Sus scrofa: one gene and its partner. The protein of the gene in region 1 binds, or shares a complex with, the protein of each later gene. Links are inferred from orthologs where the notes say so. Each region holds a gene or a part of one and is shown on either strand. Other genes may lie near its edges.

Region 1 (3,752 bases):
GTCTAGGCGTCCCAAGTTTGAGATCGAATGCCAAAATCCTCATAGTAATAACAGCCTTTTACTTGCCGCCAAAATGAATTTATTAACTCACACTGATTATGAGTCATTAGGAAAAAGACACTTCTTACATAAAAGTTAATTAAGCATTTAACTTCAAAGGACTTGAGTTTTGGCAAAAACAAAACAAAACCTCTTTAGAATTAAAAGTTCTAAGCTTCTAAGCCAGCAATTTCTTACCGTCTTCAGATTCTTGGGGGAGAGGCATGGGGGGTGGGCGGCAGCAACACCTGACTGTAAAAACTCAAGATCTCTTTAAGTTTCTGTAACAGGTTTTTAAAAGGCCCGTGCATCTGAGATGTTCGTAATAATACTCTGATATCACTCTAACTTAAAAATACAGAATTTGGCATTCAAAACACTGACTGCACCTATTTTAGGCCCCAACACTTAGGACCCGTTAAATCGGTTACAATATTCAGCTTTTCCCACACAACTGTCTCCATTCCCCAAAGAGACAAAGGTGTTAGGGCAAGGAAGCAAAAAGGTAAAGCTGTTTTAAAACCAGCCATTGAAATATCCAGCTCACACTCATCCATGGTTGCAGAGAATCAGATTTCACTTTTCAGTTCACAAATGTCTGCTTCTCCATATTACTCAGTGCCTGCCAATAATGCAGTTGTCCTGCTCCATGAAGAAACGCCCAGAGCAGAGGACCTTCCTTGCGACAAGGCAAAAGCAAAAGATATCCCCCTAAAGAAATACTTTAACATGAGCTCAATTTTAAATTACAAAACATTCTATGCTCTATGACTGTTCCACAACACTGGAGTGAACGTTATAAAATCACAAGTCTGGAAATGCAGTTGATAAAATTACTTTTAAGCAAGACGAACATTTCATATTTCAAATAACTTTTGATAAACAGCCATATCTGCTTAGTCACAGTCAAATTCGTGTATTAGGTTACTCTTAACTGAGATCTTACTAAATAAATAGCAGGGAAACAATCGGTTAATCTGTAATTCGATGCACTTTGTAAGCTAAACTTAATACTCAAAAAAAAATTTTTTTTAGCGTTATACAGCTGGAAATCAGAGCAAAACTTTTCTATAATTATCCATGAAACTTTGATGTGGTATGTTCTCCAGACCATTCCTTCAATTCCGTATGCGCCGGCACTTTTGAGTTAAATCACCCTCCAGGAGGAGGGGTCTATCAAACATCATAAAAGAAAAAAAACCTGTTTAAGTGACCCGAAGTTCTGACACTTCTTCTTATAGGGCAAAGTGAAATCTGCGTTGCTCTATGACACACAAACATTCTGCTGTGACGCTCTCATGAAAACATTCATGAGCCCAAACTCCAACCTTTAGTCTCCATTAAAAAGCAAACCAAAGCAGGTGAACATCCTATCCCTTCGAAAACCTCTTAGTAAGTTTACGGAGTTGGTGCACCTAAAAGCCAAACCACTGTGGCGATGGCACCTGCTACTCCAACAATTGCTTCAACAACCGCGGGCTGTGGCAAAATAATGGGCGACAAATATTCCGAAGGAGCAGGCAGCTCTCTGCCGAAATTCGGCTCCGGCGCAGTTAACCAGGACGAGTGACGCCAGACACAGGGGCGAGAAAGACTGAGAGCCAAGAATCCAGCTGCGGGACGACCCTACCACGCTTCCTCTGGGACACCCGAACAACAAACGGACAAACGCCCATGCTCACGACGACCCAGAGAAGTCCATTAAAAGCCCCGCCACCACCCTCGCCCTGGCTTCCCGGGGCCGATGGGCTCAACCGCCGAGGGAGGCCCCGGCCGCAGCCTGGGCCTGCAGCCTTGCTCCGCGACGGCTGAGGGTCGCCCCGCGCAGAGAAGGCCCAATCCCGGTTCCGCTCACACCTTCTCCCTCCCGCCCGCCTGGGCGCGGTGAAGACTAGCGGCTAAAAGAGGCCTCGGCAAGTCGAGGGGCGGTGTGGGAGGTGAATGGCACCTCCGGGAGAATGGGGTCGACGACGGCTTTCACCGGGCCTGAGGGAAGGCCAGGCCCAGGTGCCTGCCGTTTCGAGCAAGGCCAAAGCCGCAGCGGGGCGGCCCGCGGCTCGCAATCTGCGGCGCCACCGCCCCCTTTCAGCTCAGGCGGCGGGTACTCACGGTGTTTGGGCTCAAGGAGATGGCGGGCCGGAGGCTGACGAGAGAAGGGCGGTGTCCGCAACCGGAGAGACAGAAAAGCGACGCACAAGGCGACTTCAACCGAGTGGCGCGGCGTCGCCTTTATAGCAGCGGGCGCAGGCGCCGAGGACCCCGGGGCCCGTGACGTCACAGAGACGGCAGGGCTGGCCGCCGAGATCGCCTGACGGCAGGCGCAGACCGGCGGGGCGAGGCGCGGCGGGCCTTGAGTCTCACCCCTTCCCTCGAAAGCGGCGCTCACTCCCCTCAAAGCGGAAACGGGGGACTGGCTCAGATACTCCACGGCCTGCAAGGGTCTTTCAGGCGGGAGCTGGCCTAAGTCGAATTAAAGACCCCAGTCCCGAAAAGCCTAGAAACCTGGAGCGAGGGGCCGGGAGGGAGAGCGCGGGGAGTAGCGGGGAGAGAGGGGCGGAGTGGGGAGGGAGAGGCGTCTGTGTTAGGGGTGGTGTTTGGGAGGGGCTGCAGCTCCTTTTCATGATGGGGAAACTGGGACTCTGAGAAAGAAAGGGCGCTGATCTTTGCAGCCAGCGCTGTGAGATTTTGCTCAGGGCCTCAGTGTCCTCCCCTGAACCCTACATGAGTTAGCTCACTCTCCACAATAATGCATAAGAAGAAATATCAGGAGTTCCCCTCGTGGCTCAGTGGTTAACGAATCCGACTAGAAACCATGAGGTTTCGGGTTCGATCCCTGGCCTCGCTCAGTGGGTTAAGGATTTGGAGTGGCCATGAGCTGTGGTGTAGGTCACAGTCGCGACTCGGATCCCACGTTGTGGCTCTGGTGTAGGCCGGTGGCTACAGCTCCGATTCGACCCCTAGCCAGGGAACCTCCGTATGCCTTGGGTGCGGCCCTAGAAAGACAAAAAGACAAAAAAAAAAAAAGAAGAAGAAATACCATTACCCTTTTCTCTTTGACTTGTGAGGGAACAGGTTCAAAACGGTTCAGTGGCAGAGCAAGGATTGTTTGATACTCTCAACTCTGATTTCCTATCGACTTCTGAAGAGGCCTCCAATCCAAAGTAACCACTGTTTCAGGGAAACCCCAAGTTAGCAAAAGTGTATTGGGTGGGGGGAGGGCGAGGTGATGGGTGCTAGGAATTCGGCAGCGAACGAGGCAGCCAGAGTCCAGCCTGCAGAGAGCCCTTGTGTGGGATGCTCCCTAAAGGCTGTGTTAGGGTCCCTAAGATGAAACCAACCCTCAAGGGAAAGGGGTTAGTCTGCAAATTCCCACTCCCACCCTCTCCAGTCAGGGACTTTGACCTGCTCTACCCTGCTCTGTTTAGAGAACAATGCCACCCCTCTGGAGGAGACTAAGGCGCCAGGCTCACCTAACCAGCAGGCACGTGATGGTATTCCTGACGCCAAGGAGACAAAGGACACTTCCACACAGGGCCCCCTAAAGAAATCAGAAGCCTGCAGCTCTTCTGAGATGGGACTGGGCAGGGAGACCAAGCAGCTCCTTGGGTTACCAGGTCTTTGTCTCCAAGCTGTGGTATCCAGTGTCTGCCAGGTGCCACAGCTGATGTCGGGAAGATGAAAGGACCTACAGCTCTCAGACTTTTTCTCCACAA
Region 2 (3,150 bases), on another chromosome or scaffold:
TGCCTTTTGTGACAACATGAATAAACCTTACATTATCCTAAGTGAAATGAGCCAGGCACAGAAAAACAAATACTCTGGGATTTCTCTTATATGTAGAATCCAAAAAATTGGAACTCATAGAAATAGAGTGGGCATGGAAGTAGGGGAAACAGGGAGATGTTATCTCTACACTACATCTCCAAACACACTTTTAGTTTGGAGATCTAAAGTAGAGCGTGGGGACTATAGTTTAAAATATGATATTGTATACTTGCAATTTGCTAAGAGTTGATCTTAAATGTGCTCATTATACACACAAAAACAGTACGTGTGGGGTGATGAATTAATTAGCTCGATTGTGGTAATTGTGAACGGAAGTTTGGCCCTTGCCATCAGCCTCTACTGGGAGTAAAACACGAGCCACTGCATCTGCCCACCCGCAGCACCCCCTGAGCGGAGCGTGGGGTGGGGACCAGCAGGGAGGCCCTCTGTGCTCTGGGAAAACTGGAAGAACAGATCCTCAGAGAGTTAGGTATTTTTAGGAGAAGATACGGCTGGGAGGTAGTGAGGGGAGTAGGGGAGCCAGCAAGCTGGGTATTTAACAGGGTGATCTAAGGCGTGCGTAATTCAGCCTTTATTTTATTTTCTGTAATTTTTAAACTTCATTTTTATCTTTTAATTTATCTTTTTCTTCTTTTGGCTGCCCCTCGGCACATGGAGTTCCTGGACCAGGGATCATATCTGAGACGCAGTTGCGACCTGAGCTGCAGGTGCTGCAACGCCGGATCCTTAACCCACTGTGCGGGGCCGGGGGTCCAACCTGCATGTCCCAGCGCTCCCAAGACGCCGCCAATCCCATTGTGCTACAGCGGGAACTCCTCAGCCTTTATTTTAAAAGGATGGCTGCTAATGGCTCTTTTTCCGTAGCAGCGTGGAGCCATCCGTGATGAGACGTGACCATGTCGGAAAGCTAATCCCAGAGGTGTACGAGACAAGAGTGGTGGGGCAGACGGAGGCCCAATTTATTTAGGAAGCCCTTTGCAAGATCTACAGGAGAGATCTGAGCAGAGGCCCGGAGATGGAGAGGAGAACATGCTTCAGTTGATCCAGATGAGTTTGGGGCCAGATACGAGTGGCTGGCTTATGGAGGGGCTCATGAAGCAACGGAGGGCAGGAATCTGGGTGTTGAAGGTCATTTGACACAGACCCCCCGTGACCTCTCTGCCAGCGTTTGCTTGCTGATATCCTGACACCTCTGCAGAGGTAACGGTGGTTGGGCGTCCAGGGGCAAATGAGGCAGGGCTCTTGGCTGAGAGGGGGGCTAACAGAGAAGCGCTGCCACCGACAGTCTCTGGATCCCTACCAGCCCGTCCTCAGTGGACAGAGGGTCAGGGGGGGTGCATTTCTTCCACCGTCATTGAAACCAGGATTGAAGAAGGGCCGAACGGGTCCAGCGAAGCACATTCTGAGAAGCTGTAGATGAGGGAGCCGTGGTCACTGATGTTGTAGAAGGAGACGGTGCTGGCATCGTAGTCCAGGAAGATCCCAACGCGGCTCGGAGGCACCTGAGGGTAGAGGGGAGTCTGGGTGCAGGTGCCAGCCTCATATTTTTGTTTGTTCCACAGCCAGATGGTCCAGAAGCCATTGCTGGGGTTGAGCAAAAAATGTCCCTTCCTCTTCACGGAGTCTCGACACACACCCAGGTCCCAGGCCTCCTTGCCGGCCACATCCACCTCCCAGTAATGTTTCCCAGAGTTGAAGTGCTGGGCACCCAGGACCATGGGGTAGGTATCAAATCTCTCCTCGTTTTCGGGCACTTCCTGCCGGGTCTCTCCAAGCCTCACTTGTCGCCGATTCTCTGAAAGGACGAGCCACGGACTGGCCGTCAGTGGGTCCAGAGTGATGTGCACTGGAGAGAGAGGCCCGTGGTCAGGCTGGGAGAGCGGGGGGAGTCAGTAACCCTGAGTCCGGGGTGGGGGATGAGGAGGAAGTGACCCCCGGCCAACTCCGCCCCTTGCCCTGACCTTTGGGGGAACCACCTCCCCTGTCTCCACCCCCGCCCCGCCTACTCCCACCTGCCATCTCTCCCCGACCCTGGGAGGCACTGGGCATCCCTGTCCTCCCCTCTGCTCCTGGGCAGGCCAGTCCCACACCGCTGGTGCCGGCCTCACCTGCATATGACCTCAGCATCCTCTTAATCCCGGGCACATAGCACAAGCTGCTCAGGTCTGGGAAGCCGATGTTCAGCTCCTTCAGGTTCCAAGACTCACTCCTGGGGGAAAAAGAGTTAGAGACCCCCTCTGCAACTCCTAAGGAACCCTCTCCCTATTATCACCTCTGCGGATGACTGGTAATTCAATGCAAATGTGCAAACTCCTCCCGTGCTGCTGGGGTCCCTCGGGGTGGAGGGCGAAGGGAGGTAGGATGCAGTTTCCACCCAAGCACATCCTGTTCCATTTTTACGTTCAAGGCATCTGATACAGGCTGCATCACTTCCCTGAGGGACCTCATGCTGCGGGTCTTACCCAGGGCCCGTTCTGGGAGGTTTGAAACTGGTCAGGTTCTTTTTAAAGCAGCCCCAGCGGGCCGCAGACTCACAGCTTCCCTGCTGGTCAGAACCTCACTTGGTGAAGATTTTATACTCCAAGGACTGGGCACCTCGGCAACGGAGATGTCCATTAATCAGCCTTCTGAGACCAGAAACTATTTCAGCGAGAACTGGGTCTTTGAGAACAGGGAGAAGGATGGGGAAAACCTCAGTGCTTTTTTTTTGGTCTTTTTAGGGCTGCACTCATGGCATACGGAAGCTCTCAGGCCAGGAGTCAAATTGGAGCTGCAGCCGCCGGCCTACAATCCAGCCACAGCCACAGTCTTGCAGGATCCAAGCTTAATCTGCGACCTACACCACAGCTCATGGCAATGCCAGATCCTTAACCCCCTGAGCGAGGCCAGGGATCGAACCTGCATCCTCATGGATGCTAGTTGGGTTCGTTTCTGCTGAGCCACAAAGGGACCTCCAAGGGCACATTTTTAAACCTGAAAACCTTTCCCACAGGTGACTATGTTTCCTGCCACCTTCTCCTCCAACAAAGAAAGCCTCTCCTTACCTTTCCAGGACACTCTTCACCTCCTGAGGAGAAAAGAGACAGAGAGTAAGTTCTGGAGTCACTG

Evidence for each region. The genes of interacting proteins can lie anywhere in the genome.
Region 2: SKP1 (region 1) and TRIM21 share a complex: the UniProt entries of both Homo sapiens proteins name them as parts of the SCF(SKP2)-like complex. The link is inferred for Sus scrofa from reciprocal best matches to the Homo sapiens genes SKP1 and TRIM21.

What each region holds. Positions count from the first base shown.
Region 1 is NC_010444.4:136,473,761-136,477,512, forward strand, and holds the start of SKP1 (S-phase kinase-associated protein 1), read right to left. Parts: upstream 2,605-3,752; 5' UTR 2,149-2,604; intron 1-2,148. UniProt on the Homo sapiens protein: Essential component of the SCF (SKP1-CUL1-F-box protein) ubiquitin ligase complex, which mediates the ubiquitination of proteins involved in cell cycle progression, signal transduction and transcription.
Region 2 is NC_010451.4:5,788,001-5,791,150, reverse strand, and holds the end of TRIM21 (E3 ubiquitin-protein ligase TRIM21), read right to left. Parts: intron 3,110-3,150; coding exon 3,087-3,109; intron 2,252-3,086; coding exon 2,151-2,251; intron 1,889-2,150; coding exon 1,368-1,888; coding exon of another isoform or gene 1,339-1,367; 3' UTR 523-1,338; downstream 1-522. UniProt on the Homo sapiens protein: E3 ubiquitin-protein ligase whose activity is dependent on E2 enzymes, UBE2D1, UBE2D2, UBE2E1 and UBE2E2.